Oryzias latipes: one gene and its partner. The protein of the gene in region 1 purifies or fractionates together with the protein of each later gene. This does not show direct contact. Links are inferred from orthologs where the notes say so. Each region holds a gene or a part of one and is shown on either strand. Other genes may lie near its edges.

Region 1 (10,508 bases):
TCTTCCTGAACTTTGATGGGGCGCCATCAGACTGACATCATGTGACCAGTTCACCCCAACATTGTCTAGCGCAGTAACTAGAGAGCTGTCTATGTCATCAGCTGTTGTTGTGTCCAACAAATAAAGAAACTCTGCTGTAACGTCTCTTCAACACCTCTAACAAATATGCACAGTTATATGTGATGTTGCTGCTTTCATCAAACGTGACTGAAAATGCTATAAATGACTGGATTCCTTCATTTGGCATCCAAGTCTCCTCAAAGATGTTGGTTCTGCAATCGTAATCCTTGACCGACTCGTGTTGGCAAAAGTGGACTGCTTTTGGGGCACCAGACTTCTGCAGCCTTCAGCATTTTTCTATGAGTTCACCATCAGAAAATGGTTCGGATGTTTGCACCAACTTGTCTAATAAGGTGTCTGTCACTGCTCCATCACTGATGTCCCGGCTGCAGAAAATTCAGACTGTTGTTCTTCAGTCCAGCTAATAGTTACTAAATTTTCTCTTTTCTAAACTGCAAACGGTGAAACTTTTCTTTATGATGAGTCTCATAGTGGTGCTGAATGTTATATTCTTTGAGCACTGCGACCAGCTGATGACATACAAAGTATGCAGGTTTTGCATTCAACTCCTTGAAGAAATAAAACTCTGTTCATTTTTCCTGGAAAGCTCAGCACTCATTTTGGTCATTAGTGCGTCACTAATCATTCTTATAGCAACATAACAGTGGTGGGGCTTGCGCTGAACCAAACTACTGCTTACCCAGACTCAGAGCTGTTAGGTTTCACTTTTGGCACGTGCACAGATATTCTGTTTCACCTGTTTTGCTTTTCCTTTGCTCCCCAGTGGCGGAAATGCGCATTTCTGTTATTTCTTTAAAAAAGCATAACTCGCCACAGGAATGGACTAGAAGTGTGCCTTTTTTTTTAAACATCCTTATAATTTTTACTCTTTGTGGGCGGGCCAGATTAAACCATCTGGCGGGCCAGTTACGGCCCACGGGGCGTATGTTTGACACCCCTGGACAAAGGAAAGAATGAATGGGACCATGTATATCGTCAGATTTTGAGTGAAAACCTCCTTCCATCAGCAAGGGCATTGAAGATGAAACGTGGCTGGGTCTTTCAAAATGACAACAATCCCAAAAAGATGAGGATCAGGAGATAATCATGTGGTCAGATAAAAAACCAAAACAGAACTTTTTGGTGTAAACGCCACTCACCTAGTTTGGAGAGAGACGAAGGCTGAGCTGCATCCTAAGAACAACATGCCCACTGTGAAGCATGGGGGTGGAAACATGCTTTAGATCTGCTTTTCAGTAAAGAGGACACGACAATCTCCCTGTATAAACAAAGGATGAATGATGATCACTTTTATGATGAGCTATTGGGTAAAAACCTCCATTCATCAGTGAGAGCATTGAGAACTATATTGTGTGCAAATCTGCAGAAGACCGACAGGAACTTTTGACCATGGTTCCATTACACAGTGATTGCTGACCAAATAGTTATTTTTACACCAATATGCTCCTGATTACCAGCAATGCAATGTGTCTTCTGCAGAGGACATTTCTAAACCTGAATATCTTTCAGTTGCGTACTACTGAATACCTTCTTTTTAGTATCTAAAGGGGACATGTGGGGATGTAGTGAAATCAAATGTGAAGGAGTGGGCCTCTGGGAATTGTGTCTTTTGTGGATAAAAAAAAAGTTGATTTTTCAGATAGTCAGGAGGTTGTACAGACATTGACTGTATAATATAACTCGACGAACCATGTGTGATGTCCCCATAGACTGTAAAAATGATGGACAAATTGAGGTGTGACGTCATCCATAGAAAATGCCTTACCTGACTTAATCAGGCCAAATCCCTCATCATTGCTTCCTGACATGGACGCCGCCATATTGAAATCAGTCGGCAGTGATTGGGCTGCCTCGTTCTGAGTCATCGTATCTATGGCAACTACTGCTGCCAAACAGGAGTGAGCTTATTGTGAGACCATCTCTTGCTGCTACATTTCTATTGAAAATGAAATTGCGCAAATTGGATTTGTGATAATAAATTTGCCTAATGGAAACATGAAAATTTCTGAAAATACTCACATTTATCAAAAAATAAGCTTTTGTGCTTAGAGGATTTTCTGAGGTGTATCGAAAGGGACATGTTACGCAAAATCTGTAATGAAAACACTTTTTGAAAATTAAATAAGTCACAAGAGCAACAACTCTGCACAGGTAGACAGCTTGGAACCATTTTCTTAATGATTCCACTCTGGGACCGCAGAGTTGCCGGAGCCCGTCCCAGCTACTGTTGAGCGAAGGAGGGATACAGCCTGGACAGGACGCCAGCCTGCAGTCGCCCCGCTGGATCCCGGCATAGCAGATGGCCAGAGCGATTTAGAAACCAATATCGTATAATTTGATTCTAGTTTTCGTTTTTCCCCTCCTGAACTAATGTGGGTTGCAGAGACACAGTAGTCAGGGAAAGCAGTTTTACAGCGGGAGTGGAGCTAATACCAGGGGACTGATTGATCTCATGAACATGATTACAGATGGTTTTGTAGAATTTTTTTAAAAATGAATAAATCCAATCTCTAAACATCATCCATGTCCTCCATACATTGTAATGAGATATGCACACAGATATTTGAATGCATCTGCTGTGAATGCAAGGTATTGTTCACATCCGTGTTTTTGAAGGACTTATAGCGTGAGTTGGTTTGTGTTTATTCGCAATTTTAATTTGGTTTGATTTCTAGAATTTTAATAACGTTTTTCACATTGTTGTGATGGAAACACAGACTGTATTCAGCTTTCCCCTTTAGCCAGTCAATGACGCGGCTCGGGAGAATTGTACACGCCGATAGCCCTTGTGCTATCCTATGACCCCACCCTTACATTGACGTGTTCTCCCTACCATGACAAAGGTGGAAAGATTTCATGGACACCAGTGAAGATCACAAATCATTGAAGAAAAAAGGTTCAGCGCACTGTCTAGTGGGTCCAGATGACCCCCCCCTTACATTGACGTGTTCTCCCTACCATGACAAAGGTGGATAAAGGTGGAAAGATTTCATGTAATCCATGGACACCAGTGAAGATCACAAATCATTGAAGAAAAAAGGTTCAGCGCACTGTCTAGTGGGTCTAGATGACCCAACTCCCAATGTTAAAGTGCCTAGGATAGCACAAGGGTTAAGAGAGAACCATTCAAACATTTGAATCTGCCAACAGTTATTTTGCATTTAACCTTTATTCTTATTTTTTATAGTTTTTCACTCCTGGTTCATCCGTGTTGAGCCAGAAAGGCACGGGAAAAGTTTTTTTTCTTATGCTGCAAGAAAAATTGCAAAATAAGAAGGAAAAGGCCTTCAGACAGCATGGATGAAATCTGTCAAATGAATCAGTAATATCAGTCTATTTTTAAATTGAAGTCTATGGGATTTTGGCTTCTTGAAACCAGCAGATACTTACTGTCTGGAAACAAACGAAGGGAGGGGTAGAGCTGTCCATTGTTTTTACAGTCTATGGATGTCACCCATAGAAAATGCCTTGCTTCAGGGTCCAACCAAATGAAGTCAATTCAGTTGCCATTTTTCCACAATGAGTCCGTCGCCATGTTGGAGCCAGACATCCTTTGTAAGCCGTGATTGGTCCATTTTGGTCTAAGTCTACATTTCTATGGCAACCACTCTCCAATCAGCAGTGAGCATTTTAGAAGGCCACACCCTAAGGGCAGGGTTGCCCAGTTTAGTTTATTCTGTTTAGTTAGTTCAGTATTTTCCTATTGAATTCTATGTATTGTCGATCCTTTTGAATTCATGTTTACTTTACAATTGCCTATACAAAGCCCATTCAGATGAATGTTGTGATTTTGGGCTACACAAATAATATAGAATTGAACACCCCTTCCACTGAAAGCGGGCTTGGAAGAATCAGTCAAAGGCTTCGAACGCTTGAAGCAAAGCCACTTACTTTTTTTGAGGCATCAGATTGGTCTGTTTATAACTTAAATAATTTAAACTACAGCTAAAAGATGATAAAAAAATAGGATTTTCAAAAACATGTTACTAAACTCTTAGCTTTTTATATGGGAAAAATGTAAAGAATATGCAACTGCCAAATCATTTTTAGTCCAATGGATTTAAATTTCCTCAAAAAGCATCCCCAAGTGACAGCAGGAGGCATTAAATAATCTTAAATATTTAATTTGGATAGTAGTATTACTGGGCTTGTTAATTCTCCAATTATGTTATTTTTACTCTTCAAGTGTTGCATAGCACTTATTTTTAGTCGCCTAAGGAGCTGCAGACATTTAATAGCAATTCTAAAGCCAAATTTTTTTAGAAAAATAGTTCTTGGCAAAAATAAACATCTATCTAGAGGTTTTCCTGTTTTTTTATCTGTTTTTACATATTTTAGTGAAATACATCTTAGCAATTGTTTAAATGATTTTATAGTTTTCACATAAATGCTGATTCTGCATTTTATTTTAAAATTTCGATGAGTAATGATCTCGTTAGTTGACTAAAATGAACAGAAAAACTATTCAAACTTAAAATAACGAAGCAATGTTTTATTCCTTTCAATGGTTAAAAAAATAACTCTGCAAAGAGACAATACTTTCTAGTTTGCGGAGCAAATTAGATGTCAAAAAAATTGTGATCTACCACTGATAACAAGCGGAGCAAGACAACATGAGGTAAATGGCAAAATGTACAATTAATCATGCTCCAAGTTCACAATAATAATAATAATATCAATAAACAATACAGCTTAAAAATCTGATATCAGCAACAACCAAAGAAACAGACCAGATTTACAGGGCATGTGCACATCCACCATACCTCCAACAGCAAATCCACCAAAACCCACTATCTGACAACAAGGCACGACACACACAGTTTGGAGGGTCCAATGCAATCATCGTGGCAAAAAGCCCCACAGCCTTGGCACATGATCATGGCTTTGAGGCGGCAGGAGCACTTCAGGGCCACCTCGTCGGTTGCACTGTCGGCGAATGCTTGGATGCTGAGAGTAGCGTGGCTGGGCGCCAGACGAGGGCGTAGCTGGAGCACGCTTTCAGTCACACCCCGGGTAAAACCACTGTTGTCCATCATTGACAGGTTGGCTGTGTAGCTAACAGCTCCCACACATCCACTCTGTTTGGGAAGCTTTCCATACAACGGGAAGGGCAGGGAGGAGGCGGAAGAGGAAGGTGAGGGAGATGAGGACAAGGGTGAAGGGGAGCTGGATGAGTATGAAACTTTTCCATGGTCTTTTTTGGCTATCCTTGCCAGTGTCAGCTCCATGTTGAGAAGTCCCTCCATGGCTCCTCCACACAGGTACCCATCTATTGCATTCCCAGGTTCCTTTTTGAGAACACCATGGGTTAAAGCTGACGTAGCCTTAGCCAAGGCCTGGCAAGACGGCCGGGTGCTAGCTTCATGTTTCGGAGGGGAAGCAGGAGACACCTGCTGAGGTTGCTGAGGCCGTAGATTGACCTTTATGATTGCCACCCCCTCCAGGGGACAGGGGTCCACATAGGGAGGGGAGGGTAAATTAGGTATACTCCCATGAGTATCTGGGCACTGGTTGGCAACACCCTCCTGTGATGAGTGGGAGCCATGAGACTTGTTGACCGTAGACTCCACTGCAGTAAGAGACACATCTGGTTTGGTTTTGGATGACAATCCAGAAGAAGAAAAAGAGGGTGGTGCAGAAGTAATAACTGGGACAGCACCAGGGGCCATCGGAGGGTGGTAGTCTGACACAACTGGGGACTGACAGGAACCAGATTGCTCTACTGATGACAGGTTAAGAACCTGAGGAACAGCTGATTCTTCTGGACTAGAAAGTTGGACTGGGACCTCAGTTTTGTTGCGAGTTCCTGGGTTCTTTAGAGTTGGTGTCCTGGATTGAGTTCCTGGGAGTCGGCTTATCTCCAGCCTGTTGGCTGAGTGTGAAGGGAGGACTTTTTCAAGGGGAAGACTGCCCTGTAGAAGCTGAGTAACAAGAGGGTTGTTGGCCTCCACACTTGAAACAGATCTGGCTGGACCAGCCAGTCTTTTGGGAGCAGCAGCAACATTTAAATGAATGACAGGAGACTTTAAAGATCCTTGGCACTCCTCAACATAACTTGTTCTGGAGGCTTTACGGTCCTCTTTGAGCTTAATTTTTACCACAGCATTCTTTTCTCTGAAACCCAGCAAAGGTGCCGTAATGACAGAATGGTGGTCCTGGGACTCAGGGTGGTTATGCTGAAGCTCAGGTAGACCATTTGGAAAGCAAGGCTGAATGACTGTCTGACCCTTGTGACCCAGCATATTGGACTGCACAATGAGCTGCTGGCTCTGAGTACCAGGGCACTGGGTACTCAGAGGATAGCGCCACTCTTGGTCCGCCAACTCCTGCTGCCCGTCCTCCTGGTCTTCATTCTCACAGTCAGAAGCAGTTTCTGTGGAGTCACTGTGTGTATTTGCATCTTCTTCTTTCTTTCTGCTGATGCTGAGATTCACATCACATTGAGGAAGAGAACCCTCTGGCTGTTTCACCACTGAATGAGACGAAACTTCCCGCTGTTCCTCATGGTGTGAACTATGCTGGACGATGACACAGGGTCCATCCTCCTTTTGTCTTTCCTGCTTTTTGTTCTGAGAAGAAGTGGCAATTGTCTGTAAAATGTCTACACCCTGAGTCCCAAACCTAGGGATGGAATCAGGGATTGATGTTTGGGTCAGGATGGTTTTTACACAACCTTTGCCTGCCATCTCGGAGACATCGGCTGACTCCTGCAAATGGTTTGCCTGAAAAGATTGGGTGCCCAATGACTTGGATGTAATGTTGGGATCTGGGGAGAGATTGCAAGGCCCGTCTGTGAACCTACAGGGGGAGCTCTGGGAAGTTGCTGATGTTTCTTCAACCTCTTCTGTTACTTTCAGACTCCTAGCTGACCCCTCTTGGTGGGGACTGGGGGCCTGTGGGGACTCCACAGACATGGAGGTGGATGTGTTGGATAATGAAGGGGAACAGTGAGCTTCTACATATTGAAGCTGTAATTGTGTTCCAGACGAATTAGCGTCTGAAGACGATTCCTGCTCCTCCATTTCACTGGCCGCCTTCTTCTCATCTCCGGTTCCTTCCTGCCCCCCTCCTCCAGGCTCGGTTGGTCCTGGGTGCTCTCTTCTTCGTCGTTCACTGTTGCTATCCGATAGCCCAAGAGCAGGCCGCAGCCCGACACTGGTCGTCCCTGTCCTTTCGCCAGAGGCCGCAACAGCAGCAGCGGCCTCCCTCTGGGCTCGGGCTTGCTGGGCTCGGGCTTTGATGTCTGCCAGAGTTCGTGCTCCCCCAGTTCCAGAGCGGCGTGAGCCCTCTCCGGAGGGCACAATCCGTGGGCAGATCTGGTAAGTGGGGTGCCCTTTGACCCATGGAGGTTTGATTCTGGATAGTTGAATCTAGGAGAAAAAAGGACAGAAGATGGCAATCAATATGTGCAAGAGTTGTGTAGTGCACATCGATATATATTACTGGATTGGTGGTCCATAATATGCCGTATTTTCATAAAATTATTAACTGGATTGTCCCAGACAAGTGATTGGAGCAAAAGTGGGGGGAAAAAATAGTTTTCCAACCCTATTTTTCTAGCATTTTATGAAAACTGTGCCAGTTTGTCTTATAAATTGTGTTTTTTATTTATTTTATTAGATTGGATTGTAAAAAAATCTTTCAAAGAAGTATCTTGTGAGACATGTAGAGCAGTGTTCCCAAACCCCCCAGCTGCGGGTTGGTACCAGTCCGTGGGCCACTTGGTACAGGGCCACAGACAGAAAAAAATAATAATACAAAGGCTAACTTTGATTATTTTTGTGTTGTTTATTATCTGATACTGACGGAGGTTTTTTTTTGGAAAACCACTGGGTTCTGATCACCACATCTGTCAGTCTTGACACATCATGTGAACTTAAGCAGTTTTCGGACTAAGTTGGTAGCCAAACAACAAAACGTATTTGGAAAGTTTCTTTTGGGAGAAAAGAATCAGTGAGGAAACTGAAGAAAAGTCTTTGACTTCAAAGAAACATGAAACTGCTGTTTACAGACAAAACCAGGAGTTTTCCTCCAAATATGGATTCATTAAGACAGTTGTTCTCATGTACCAGAAGCTGCTCGTCTTAATATGCGGTGACTGATTCTCAAATGTTTAACGCATGCAGATAATAAAGATGCAGACAGAGTGGATTCTATTATTATATTTAGAAAATACCAGTTTTAGGACGGTGGTGTGACGGCGAAAGTTAGCATCCAGTTGTTAGCATTCCACTTTGACGTCACAATTTCAGTTTTAGCCAGCCGCAGGAATTTGACAAAGAATAAAGTTGCTGATTTGTGAAAACTTGTAAAACAGACATTTGTGAATTTCCCTAAAGCAAGGCTGAATTAAGCATCTTCTAAGAAATTTTGGCACAGAAAATGTTCCTCTGTGATAAAAATATTCACAATAATTTCTGTAAAAACAAAATGATAAATCTTTTTGCCCTGAGAGCATTGACTTTTAAAAGCAATACACAGCTCAAACTCTCCCTTCTCAGGTTATCAATTAGGAAGTACCGTTGCTTCCTGATACGTGTGCCGCCATGTTGAATCCAGTTGACAGTGATTGATTTGAGTTGCTCTGAGTCATATCTATGGGAACTACTATCACCATTGCAGCGGATGGGTGTGGGCGGCGCCTTAGTCTCCTGGATCATTGACTACTTGTCAGACAGGCCGCAGTTTGTCCGGCTGGGCGGTGTCCTGTCTGACGTGGTGACAAGCAGTGTGGGGGCCCCACAGGGAACTGTGCTCTCTCCCTTCCTGTTCACTTTATACACCAGTGACTTCCAGTACAACTCAGAGTCTTGCCATCTTCAGAAGTTCTCTGATGACTCTGCTGTTGTTGGCTGCATTAATGGTGGGCGGGAGGAGGAGTACAGGGATCTTGTGGATGAATTTGTGAGATGGTCTGGAGAAAACAACCTGCAGCTGAATGTGGAAAAGACCAGAGAGATGGTGATGGATTTCAGGAAGAAACCACCAGCTTCCCAGCCTCTCAACATCCTTGGCAGAGATGTGGCAGAGGTAGAGGAGTACAAGTACTTGGGAGTAATCATCGACAACAGACTGAGCTGGAAGAGCAACAGCACTGCTGTGTATAAGAAGGCCAGCAGCAGACTCCATTTCCTGAGGAGGCTGAGGTCCTTCAACGTGTGCAGCAAGATGCTTGAAATATTCTACCAGTCTGTTGTGGCCAGCACTCTGTTCTTCTCGGTGGTCTGCTGGGGGGGCAGCATATCTGCTAGGGACAGCAATAGACTGAACAAACTGATCCGAAGAGCGGGCTCTGTAATTGGTTGCAAAATGGACACGTTTGAATCTGTGATGGAGAGGAGGACTTTAAATAAACTGGTATCCATCATGGATAATCCTGAGCATCCTCTCCATCCTGTACTGGATGGTCAGCGGAGCTCCTTCTCCAACAGACTAAGGCAGCTTCGCTGTCACACAAACCGCTTCAGGAGATCTTTCATTCCTCACTCCATTGGACTCTATAACTTGTCATCCATGTGCAATAGATAAAGTCATTTATGGTCCGTCTATTTTCTCTCTCCTGATGTGGCATGCAATACGACTGTGCTAATTCACTGATGTTTCTTTCCGATTGATTGTTTTGGTTCTCTGTCATCTATTGTGTGTAAGTTTGTATCTTGAGCCTAACGCCGACGCTGCAACAACTGAATTTCCCAAGCTGGGATCAATAAAGTATCTTTATCTTATCTTATCTTATCATTGCCAACAACTTTGTTTCACTGAATCTTCGTCATCTGTCTATAGATTTTTTTAAACTAAATTACTTGTAGCAGAAATTTAATTTAAAAAATATGGTTCTTAGAAACTGGTGAAAAAATATCAAACGCAAACTTTGGAAATATTGTCTGGCATTAAACCGGTCAGTGGTGTGAAAAAGGTTGGATGTAGACGACATCTTCTGTCAAGTGCTCCATGTCAAAGATCTGCAGAGGCCTTCACTTGAGTAAACCTCAAAGATCATGGCAGACTCCACACCCATCAGATCCAGTATTTTACTATCCTGTTAACAGAACGTCACCTACAACGTGCATCATATAGCACATCTACACACATCGCTGCTGCAAAAGCACAAACAGCAACAACAGTACTCCAAGGTCATTATTTTCAAAGGCCTATGAAAACACGTCTAATATGTCTGTAATGCAAAAAATAATGAACGATAAAAGTTGCAGATAGCCATTATTGACTTTTACTATGGCAGATTGTTTACCTGATTTTATTTTCTTTGAGGTGTTTTTGTTTGGAAAAGGGCTTTCTTACTTCACTTCGTCAAGTTTATTAGCTATTCGTGCTATTGAACTTCAACATGTGGATTAATTCTAGTTGTGTTTACTGATGAAGTGATTTTGAGGGGTACATTGTGCTCTATCAAAATGTAAGTCTGTTTT
Region 2 (11,906 bases), on another chromosome or scaffold:
TTTCTACAAGTCAATTTTTCCACATTTGCATGCACTATCAGGTCATAGAAGGGAAGGAAACATGCAGTTACAAAAAAGAAAAAAACATCCACAGCTGCGTTGATAATGTTTGACCTAAAACTGTGCATTCTTGAAGCAAAAACAAACCGATTATGGCTGAGCTTTTATGTGCATACTTTTTCTGTTCACACACAACTTCCAACCACAAAATGCGAGGCTATAAAACGCCAGTCTGCACCTGACAAATGTCTTAAATAAAGACCAGGAGGATGAATCAAAGTGTCTAAACCTGATGATTAAGCAGGCTGGCAGCTAAAATCCTGCATCCTCCTACTTCTTTGCTTAAGAGAGCAACATCTGGTAACACCCTTTGAATCTGTGAAAACTTTCCGTATTGTCTTAACACAGATTGGGGCACTTTAGAAAGTACTTTTGTTCATTTTTTATGTCATCTTTTTCCTAATAGAAAATATTTAAAGCAACATGTGTTTTTGTTAATGTAGGTATTTGATAAAATATGGAATTATTACACCTCTTGAGGAAATGTTGCCTTTATTTTAAAATCATATCATTTGAACTTAAGTGAAACTTTTAGTTTTATTTTATAGACGTTGCTTTTTGTGAAAGCAACATCAAAAAATAAAGTGAATACTGTTTTTAATCTTTAGGGAGAGATTTATTCTGTTTTTATTTTTGATTCTCTGCAAAGAAAAACCCAGAAATTCAATCTGAATCTTGGAAAAAAAAAGAAGAAGGAAACTAATTGAGTTATTTGCTCAGTAGCAGACTAACATCCAGTCTTGAAAGTAAGATGTTTGATAGAAGGCTTTGCAAGACATAAACAGCTTCACTCCCTCTGTATTCCAAAGCAACCCAAGCATTCCAAAGCATCTCAGATAATATGGGTCATTGGTGTGCACTGGATCTCATCCTAAAACAAATGGGCTGCAAAAATTTAGGCCACTCTCTCGGTCACAACATATCTGGACCCATCAATTAACCAGCACAGCAGACCCTGAGTATCAGCACATTTGTTTTTTTAATAGAGGCTAGTCTAAATTAATCTGTTAGCAAATATTTTGCGCTCACGTGTTTCCTAAAATAGTACCCGGAAAGTGGAGCTTTTGTGTTTAGATCAAACAGACTCTTTGAGATGGAGAAGATGTGCACATTTTTATAACCTTCCCATGCACAAAGATAAAGCATGTCAAATGCGATTGCTGTACGCACACAGCATCCATTACATCATCCTTTGCACAGGCGACCCTGAGCAGTATGATGAGTGAGTGAGAACGAGAAGAACGTGCAGAAGAGTACATGAACCCAGCACCCTCTGGATGCTTGGGGCGTTCAGCGCAAAACCAACAGAAGCATTGATGTTAGCTGCTTCACAGAAGAGGGCGCTGTAAAACAAGAGTCTGACAAACAACAAATCCATTTTCAGCATCTCTAAAGTACACAAACATTTTAAAGGCATCACTTATTCCTTAACTTGAACAGTAGTAAAACATTGTTTCCATTCACAAATCCAATGAAACTCAACACAAACTGTGATAATGAAATTGGTTCTTAAAGTTTTTTTTTTCCACTTCTCTTATGAACTTAAGTTTAAAATTTCAGTTTCACTAGTTATTTTTGCATCAAAAATCATTGATTCTGAAATTAAGTTCCCTGACCAAAATTGAAGGAAAATACTGGAAAAAACTCAAAGAAAACATTATTTATTGTATATTTACTAAGTCCACATGAGGTCATTATGGGCCTTTTATTAAAATAATCTTCAGATATAAAAGTCTAAAATTTGACTAAAATGCAACATAAGGATCATGGCACACCTGTAAAGTCTTGTGTTTAGGAGGATAGCTTAGTTTAGATAAAATACATTTCACAAGTTCTACTGCTAATAAGGATGAATATTAAACTATGGCCTTTTTAAATAGGTACTTAAAATTGATCAGAAAGCAGTAAAATAAGACAATTTAATGTCAAAAGTACTGCTCCATGTGAACGTCAAAGGCTGAAGACCTAATAGATGCTGCCCCCTGTTGGTAATTTTAAGTACTGCATAAACACACCTCAATGTTTTGAAAAGTGAAATGTATGCGTTTCAAATTAAATTATAAAATAATAATAAACACAAAAATAATTTAATATAGGATCAGAGTATTTTCTTCATGCAAGATAATTAAAAAGTCTGCAAACCGGTTTAAAATAGTCTGGAGAAGACACTTTGATTAGGGTGTTATCCTGTTGTTTCAGCATGACTCTGTGGTATGAAGGTCACAAGAATAAAACTGTTCTGTGTGCAGTACAAAGACCCACCTGTCATATTGGGATTGCAAAGAGACTTTGGTGTCTTCAGGGTGGGACTTTTCAGGACATATTAATGCCACATTAAAAATCACCTTTGGCACTCTAAGAGGAAAAACAAACAAATAAAATTCAATTAGTACAATTAGGGGTTTTTATTTGGAAAAGTTCCACTTGGTCAGGTCAACAAACAAGATATAGTTCAAATAAATGCATGTGCTGCATTGTTACAAGAAAGCTATGAGATAAAATCTTACCTGAGGCCTTACTGTGAGTAGGTGAAAGTTCTCATTAGTCTCTATGTGGCCTTTTAATGACTTGGTACACCTTATTCACCTTCTATAGAAGGCAAACCCACAGTAGCACTGCACAGAATAAAATGATTAAAAAAGAATGATTCAAAAATGGACATGAACAGTAAAAGTAAAATAAAAATGACAAAGGAGAATGATGAATTATGTGTTGTTTCAGCTGCCAAGGAAATTATGACAGCCTGCATGTATGATTGAATTAAACTTTTTTTTATTTAGCAATTTATAATTACACAAGAGTACTTATGTGGGTTTCAATGAAAAAAAAGGATAAAAATAGAATATTTTTGATTTTTTATATTATAAAATTATAAAACACACAAGATACCATGATCCCTCATGACCCCCACACCCAACATATGGAAACATAAAATGAGATCTAAAACTCAAATTATGACTGGAAACAGCAATCAAACTAAGCTATAATTGACAGGGTGCTGGTGAAGTGAGTACCGGAGTGATGTTCAATCAAACTGTTCAAAAATGAACAAAGAAAAAAAGACATCTGCTTCCGGGTCAGAGTTTTTTTCATTATGATGACACGTTATTGTTACTAGACTCATCCAGGGTGACGGCGCCATTGACTTTCAGGAAAGGATAACCTCAGAAGTGTGGTTTAGATTAGTGCTAGAGCTTGTTCTCAGGAGACATAAAAGTGGATGAACTTGTTATTGAAGACTTGACAAAAATCTAGACCATGGAGCCATTTTACATTAAAGTTAATCGAAACAGATCTGTAAAACAAGCCACCTACCTGGAAGACTGAGTAGACTCCAGTTCTTTTTAAACATAATCAAATCTAGATGGTATAGTGTTGCTCCCACTAATGTCGTTTTCTTGTTTTAGGTGAATTTAATCCATTTAATTGGAATGAAACTGTAAATTCACTGTGACCACTGTAGAGATGATTCATGGGATGTCACCTAGAAATGTCATCTTGGAGCCACTTGCATTTGTAGCTCATGCTTCTGTGCTGTGAAATTCTAATGTGTAAATATCTGCTCAATTTTAGAATAGAACAAAGGATCCAGAGGAGACGAGAGGAAAGCAAAAACAACTTAAAACAACTCTGGTTCTTCTAGTATTTTAAATCTTCTTTGTAAATCTTTGACTGTATTGTGACACAATTCACACAAACCAACATGGAGACAAAACACATTTCAAAGGAGAAAGCATGACACTAAACCAATGACTGGATAACATCTGGAGCACTCTGGGCTTCAGGTAGACCCGCATGGGCCCTTTTCAGAAACATGTGATAATCAAAGACAAACAGAGAAACATGTGCCTGTTCTCGACACAACAAGAACACAAACGTATGTGGAAAACTTGATAGAAATCAGGTTCTGTGAGAACTGCTGTGTTGCACATCCGGGTTTGTTTTGCAAACAGACACGCCCTCGATCAGAAATGAAGGGAAGGCAGCTAAAGCAGGAGAAACAAGGAAGCAAAGGAAGAGCTGCTGATGAAGCCACATTCTAAGACACATTTTATTTATTTTCACTTTTGATCATCACATTTTTTTGGCAGTTATGTTTGCTTCAGGAAATTATCTTTTTGCTTCCTACTTTCGACTGTGTCGAGAGTTTGTAATACATACTTATGTTTAAAGAGATAGATTGACTGTAATAACATTTTAAAATTAAGAAATGTAAACCTTAGTTTTAGAGAAAATTTAACCCAGATATTTCCATTTTACTTAAGTAGATTTATAATAAATAAAAAAACAGCATTCTGATTTGTTTGTCTTGTTCCAATAATGGCAAAATATTGGTATAAGTATTCATTTGTATTAACAATGAATCATGAAAATTTGATCCAATATTTTACTTTAAAACTAATATTCAGAATCATTAATGCCTTATTTGACATTGTATTCCTGCAACAAAATTTGAGTAGCTACTCCTTAAATAGTGCTTTTGAAAAAAAAAAAGCATTTTTTGTATTCATTCATACATGTACATGCACACTTAAAAAAACCAACAAAAATGGTGCATGCATGCATAGGAGCATAGATTAAAACAGTAGAGAAAAAAGGGTAAACAGTAGATTTTAAAATTTGCAGTAAACTGGTTTATTTGCAAATTTATGACAGATCACAGCATCAGCACACCAGCAACATTTTTAATATGTCAGAAACAGGAGTTTGTTTGTTTTTTTATCTTAAATGTACATTTGCTGTTTGCAAAAACAGGGTTAAAAAACATTTGGTTAAAACAAAAACTAATTAATTTAAACATAATTAAGAAAAGAAAAACAAGGGTTTATGTTTGGATATCAATGTTGGCAAAACATATTAAGGAAAAACATTAAATATTGGCAAAAAATAAGATGTGTTAGAAGATGTCGATTAATCTTGCAGGAAAATTGCTTGGTTGAAAAAAACCATAAACATACTGCAAGTCCTAGAAATATTTTAAAAAGAAATAGAAATAAAGTTGTTTAAGCTCGGGACTTGAAGATTAGAAGAATAGTTATTCTGGTGCAAACACATCCTGTCAGTGATGTTCAATGTAAACTGAGCCTGTTGGCAACTTCCTTCACATAGCAATTGATGTTGATTTAACCAGAACTCTATCCATCAGGCTACAGTTTAAAAAAAAATCAGTTGACAAAATATATGTAACTAGTAAGGATTAGTAAACAGTATTTATGTGGAAAGATATTTAACAGTAGATTGTACATTTAATGCTTGCTTTACACATTAAGAAAATACCCTTTGCAGTTAAAAATAAAATAAAAGCTAACACCTGTTAAATGTCCCTGGAATTACAAATCTTATCTGAACTTCTTTTGTGTGTATTTGAATATGTTTTTTGTGTGTGTCTATATATATAAAAACTACAAGAAGAACTAAAATAAAATAAAAAGATAAATAAAACTACAAGAAGAACTAAAAGAAAATAAAAAGAAATCAAACAACCCACGGTTATGTAATGTTGATGTGTTTGTTACTAGACCAGCGCACCTTCCACTTCCTCGCAGCACAGCTGACACGTGACTCTTTCAGATACCTCCGAGCAGTGCTGCTTCCTTTTACCGTTTGAGTCTCACTGCACCATTGTATTCTTCCGCGTGGTTTTACCTTAAGTGTATAATTTTACATCAGGTTATATATATGTATATGTATAACTTCTTAATACAATAAAAATAATAATGTATATTGGGTTTATAGTCACATGTATTAATGCCCAACTATTATTTTCAATCAATGCCGGTGTCAGGATCTAGTTGATCACAAAAACGAGTTCCACCCAATTCGCCATTTTACGTTCACTAGCTGCTTTGTTGTGCAGATAGAATATCGTGAACGGTAGCGGTATATTTTTTATGTCATATGTAGGTGCAGTAACTACATTATCTGTGTAAATATACCCAAACAGCGGCATTTTAAGGTAGGGCTTTAGGAAATTTATTCTGAATACGAGATTAGTAGGTAACTATAACCCGGTCTACCTAGCCAGACAACAACGTGCTTTCAGTTTTCGTCTCAGAAAGACCACAGTTAGTTATAAGAAATACATCTATTTTTCTCTGAAGCTGTGAGCTCCCAGACGACACATTGACGACCGCCGTGCAAGAAACGAAGACTGCTGGGGAGATGGCGAGTTCTGTGGGAAACGTGGCAGACAGTACAGGTTAGTGGCTCAAAAAAATAAAAGCACCTCCTTTAGAAAGAAGCAACGATTTAAAATAGTTTTTAAAAGTAAATTTTAATCTAACAATGACCCTTTTGGTAATCCACAGCAATAAGGTAAATGAGGATGCTAGTATGTAAACCAGTAGCGCCGCTCTTCTAACACCACGGTACCAATTTATATGTATTAATAGATATATTATAATAAGGCTATTTTATTATATTTTTCGCCAATTTGTACCGAATATTCCTTCATTTGGCGTCTTAACCTAAACAGTATTAAGTCAAGACGAGCTAGCGTTGGTATTTGTAGATGTGACGTTTAAATGGGTAGGAAACGATTAAATCTTTGGCGCTGCAACATTTTTCCTCCTTGGGCGTCACTATGTTCATACATTTTATTTTTTTAAATCCTAAACTGAACATTTATCTCGTGGTTTTTGTCTGAGAAAATGGCCGCCAGCTAAGGGGCGTTTCGGTTTGCAATAAAGGGCGCTGAAATGAAGTGTCCTACTAAAATGCCTTCAAAGATATCTTATTTTTTAATTCATTTTTTTTTGGGAGGGACGGCGAATGTTAGGGATATATGTTTTTCAAAATTAGAAAATGACGAACAAGCTCAGTTTTAACGATAAACTAACTTTAACGCGATTATTAGCAGATTTTGCGTGCGTTGTGGTGCAGTTTTTTTCCACACACCCCACCCCCACAATAAAGACCCACTTCGATGAAAATCGTGTTTTTAACTTGTTCGTGTAGCATTTTTCTTATAATGGATGATATGTAAAGAAATTTAAGATTAAAATTCAATCGTGAATTAGCAGCAGCAGATGATAAAAATGCTGTTGGAAAAAGCTTGTAGCAGTGACGTAGATGCTACAGTAGGTGGAGCCACAATCTCCCTGTTCTCTATCAAGATGCACCTGTTTGATGACGAATAGACTTAATAACGTTTTCGTTTACTCTGCATTTTGGAAAAGCTAGTCTGACATATAAATTATGCGTTTCCTTAGTTGGAAAAAAGCGTCAGTGTGCATTTTTTATATACATTAAATTGTAATTAATTTATATGTACAGATGCTTATAGTTTGTATAAAAGTTGTGAAGTGTCCCCCTTATGTTCCCTCTTGTGACGTCATCATTTTTACCCATTATCACATTTTGAAGTTACATTTGTCAGGCATTTATTTTAATACAAACATTGTCATGTTTGCTTCTATTTTTATTTCTTCCTGTTTTTTCATTTGTCGTCTTTATTTTCTTTCATCACCTCTAACATGTCGTTTCCCCCCTCCTTGGCCTGTGTTGGTTGTCCAGAACCAACAAAACGTATGCTTTCCTTCCAAGGGTTGGCTGAGCTTGCACACCGGGAGTATCAGTCAGGAGATTTTGAGGCGGCCGAGCGCCACTGCATGCAGCTGTGGAGGCAGGAGCCTGATAATACTGGAGTGTTATTGCTGCTGTCCTCCATTCACTTCCAGTGCAGAAGACTTGACAGGTGAGAACACTTTATACAGGCTGGCAAATGAGAGCAGCAGAATGGAAGGGCTTTACAAATGAAAGGATCAAGAAATGGTATTTCCAACACTTTCTTTATTGTTAGAAGAAACCAGCCGTTTTTTAGCTGAGGTGCTATTTCTACTTCTTAAAGAGGCCTCTATTGATGATTCCCTAATCCTTTGACACCTGAATTTATTTCCAGTTATGAAAACATGTTTTTGTTTTCAAGTAGATGCTAAATAAAATTGAGATGGTAAATTTGACAAGAACACATAAAATAGATATGATTTTAGGTAAGTCACAAATCATCGACAATCAGCATCTACCATACTGTTTCCAGTATAGAGAATTTTAATCATGCAACACATTTATTCCTAGTATTTTCACTCTAATCACCGACAGAACTGATAAACCTTGAACTAAAGTCAACACAAAGCTTATTGTAATTGGCCTCCCCAGCCTTATTTTAATTAACAATAAATTGTCTCAAAACTTTAGAGTGAAGTCTTTTGCCTCTTTATTCAGTACATATTTAACTTCCAAATTTACTCAAATTGTAATAACTGTAATGACTATTTTTCTTATAAAAAACCTAGATTAACTGATCTAAATGTTTTGAAATTATTGTTAACTCGTTTGAAGTAGCACAAGCAGTTTTGTTTGTCTGGACGATTGTATTTTATTTTTCTACAGCTTCTGCAAACATAGAAGGGACATTTTTTGATCATATGGCAGACTTTGAGGCAGTTTTATTCCAGTTGAAAGCACAGGCCAACTCTACATTTGTCACAAATCTGAGGGGTGCTTCTTTTGTAGAAAACACTCCTTTTTTATATCCACTCTCATTAGAAGAAAGTCAGAATGCAGACAGCATGATGTAAATTAGGCCTGCACAATAAGTCACAAATGTATCATTATTGCGATATCAAGCTGTGCAATACGCGTATAGCAAAAGACCGCAAAATTGCAATGAATGGTAATCTTAAATGTGCTAAAACAGTCTTATGGCAGCCTGAAGTATGTAACGAATCAAAAAAATCCCTTAATGCATTTGACCAATCGGATCTGTTATGTTAGATGTTGGCCTCCTATGTAGACTACGTTTAACTCTTATTTAAATTAAACTGTACCAGTGAACTGGGAATTGTTTTTGGTTGTTTTTCCATTTTTTTATGTATCGTAAGTTATGTCATCGTCATGATATTGATCACTAATACCGCATATTGCGAGTGTTCCTCATTTTGTGCTGCCCTAATGTAAATCAATGACAAATCTGTATGATTTGTGTAACACAAACAATGCAAGTAGCATGTTTGCTGAAATACATCTTTGTTGGTACAGATATGCAGCAATGCAATAAAAGTAAATAAAAAAATCGGAGTACCACAGAAACATGACAGCAATAGTTAAAATTACACTTTTCTGGTAAATCTAATCCTTGGCACTTTTTTGTACATAAATGTTTTACTTGCATGCGGGATGAAGACCGTCCTGCATCTCCTGATTTTCCAACTCCTCTTCTTTCAAAGTTCTGACAAGAGTTTTGCTCTGGTTGAATTCCTAGACATTTTTTCACAATAATAACTTATATTTACAACATAAATTACGATGACACACTTTTAAAAACACAGCTTAAATTATGTATATTTCTTCTAACAACTATCGATTGTCTATTTGTTGATTGTCAACATCGTTGCATAAAAATTCGACACCGTGGAAACCACTGCAACGACAGGAAAGTTATGTAAATCAGCGCAAACGTGTGTTTTCTGCCGCTGGTGACCGTGTCGGTGTTGAGGGTTAACTGTGTTTATATTTTTGCTCACAGGTCTGCTCACTTCAGTACTTTGGCCATCAAGCAGAATCCAATGCTTGCAGAGGCTTACTCCAACCTGGGAAACGTGTACAAGGAGCGTGGTCAGTTGCAGGAGGCCATCGAGCATTATCGCCACGCACTGAGGCTGAAGCCGGACTTCATTGACGGGTACATCAACTTGGCAGCAGCTCTGGTGGCTGCAGGAGACATGGAGGGAGCAGTCCAAGCTTATGTGTCTGCTTTACAATACAACCCAGTAAGTGGTGTTATTAAGTACTTGAAAAATTTGGGGGGGGGGGGGGGGGGACTTGTTAGTGAAAACATTCTATTTTATTCTATTTTTAAATCTTTGTGTTTTTTTTTTTCTTTTACAGGATCTCTATTGTGTACGTAGCGATTTGGGCAACTTGCTCAAAGCCCTGGGACGTTTGGAAGAGGCTAAGGTACGCGTCTTTGTGTCTTCAATGCTAAAGATGTGGGTTTTATTTTCTCTCCTTTAGTTTTAGGATGTCTTTTTAGGCCATCGATTCTTCCTTTTTCTTTTATTTTTTCGTTACTTTTAGGAGCTTTATTAAAGTCCTCTTTTCTCTGGGGGCCAGATAAACATCAGCTTATTTTAGACTTGCAAGGAGCTTCTCACCTCACTTTAGAAAAGTTTTTTTGGAAATATTGAACTAGAGTCTAAAAGACTCATATTGCACTCTAAAGCTGTCCTTTCTTTAAACATTTTTCGAACTTAAATTATCTAAATCTTTATTTTTTCTGATCTTTTTGTACAAATTCTTTTTGACAATGGTCCTTATTACTTAGTCCCACTGTTTTTGCTGACCTTGCTAATGAAAGGTCATCCCCTCCCCTTTCAGGAAGAAAGGCTGCAGTAAGTGAACCCTTCAGATTGAACCCTGGCCCTGCATCCTAATGATGTTTATCTGGGAGGGAAAACGCTGGCTCGGTCTTTAAAGTGATTATGAACTGATATCAAGATAGAATTTATCTGAAGTGCAAAAGATAAGATGGTTTCTAACCTAACTGCTATACTCCTGTGTTGCATATCAAGTGCCCAATGACAATATTTCTATCCCTGTTTTCAGCTGGTAGTTTCTGCCAGTGTGGATCCTTTTTTATTTTTTTCCCCACTAGGAGTTTACAACTCAACTTTGTCACTTTAAAATGTGCTTGTCACGGGGGGGGGGGGGGGGGGGGGCTCCCTTGGTCCGTTCAAATCCGGTCATATGGAGTTGTCCTGCTGGTTACAGGCCATCTTATTTCATGCTAGAGGGGGGTAAAGGAGTGTGGAGGAGCATCAGGGAGTCACAAGCTCCCCAGCTCTGTAGCTCTGCCCCCCGCGCGCTTGCTAAGGATCGGTGGAGTGTGCGCAACCAGAGCTGTCTTCTTGACCAATCAGCTTCCCCTAGTTGATGCCGAGGCGCATCCCCACATGCCTTTCATGTCCAAAAGTCAGTACTTACACTGAGATTTACGATTAGTCAATCATTCTGATATTTATTGACATGCCCTGCCGTTTATTTACATATAAAGCTCATTCTTCAGTGCCTTAAGGCGGTTGAAGTAGTGTCAAGCAGACAGCTCACTCACTATTTGTGCTCCACCACCTGCGCCAGATGCTGGATTAGAAAGACAGTATGATGCGCAGCAGCAGCAATGACCTCTTTATTTCAGATCTGTGGAGACTTCTAGATACAAGTACTTAAACCACAGAATTTTCTTCCCTATCCATTGGCCAGGATTCAAGAAAGCAGGCCAGGATAAAGAAATCAAAGTTTTAAAAAATATATTTTCTGAAAATGCTAGTGGAATATAAGAAACGCATTGGTTCACATTTCTTCCCTTTTCCTTCAAATATGTAATAATATTCCTACTGAAATGGGATCAGTTCATTTGGGTAAGATCAAGCCAGTAATCGCCCTCTTTGTAGTTTGGTTTAAATTCTCAATTGGCAGGAAAATAGAGGTCTGACTACATGTCAGTGATTAACTGAACAGCAAAGCCTTTCTTCCCTCGGTTAGCCTGTAAGCAATCCTCTTGTTTTGTATCAGGCCCTCAATGCATGACTGAAAGCTAAAGCTAAAGCTACCATTTATTTTTGTTTTGTCGTGATTTGGTGCTTTATATCCATAATCAACAAATAATGTATTGTTTGAAGAACTTTTACTAACGATCTTGTTTTCTGATTTTGTCTCTTTTGGTTTTTTCCACGACTGATATTGTTATTTAGAAGGTTTCAGGTGGGTGACACTATTCCTGCGTAGGTGCCTGGCGGAAAGGAACTCTAGGGCAGCCTCAGTCCTCTCCTCTTCTTCCAGCCAGCTGC

The links.
Region 2: the proteins of asxl1 (region 1) and ogt purify together in Homo sapiens (affinity purification with mass spectrometry; 3 studies listed by BioGRID and IntAct, with this or other methods). This does not show direct contact. The link is inferred for Oryzias latipes from reciprocal best matches to the Homo sapiens genes ASXL1 and OGT.

Annotation. Positions count from the first base shown.
Region 1 is NC_019865.2:30,115,698-30,126,205, forward strand, and holds the end of asxl1 (putative Polycomb group protein ASXL1), read right to left. Parts: intron 7,452-10,508; coding exon 4,872-7,451; 3' UTR 4,550-4,871; downstream 1-4,549.
Region 2 is NC_019868.2:18,361,554-18,373,459, forward strand, and holds the start of ogt (UDP-N-acetylglucosamine--peptide N-acetylglucosaminyltransferase 110 kDa subunit), read left to right. Parts: upstream 1-5,896; 5' UTR 5,897-6,222; coding exon 6,223-6,259; intron 6,260-7,575; coding exon 7,576-7,756; intron 7,757-9,586; coding exon 9,587-9,830; intron 9,831-9,948; coding exon 9,949-10,017; intron 10,018-11,810; exon of another isoform or gene 11,811-11,906. UniProt on the Homo sapiens protein: Catalyzes the transfer of a single N-acetylglucosamine from UDP-GlcNAc to a serine or threonine residue in cytoplasmic and nuclear proteins resulting in their modification with a beta-linked N-acetylglucosamine (O-GlcNAc).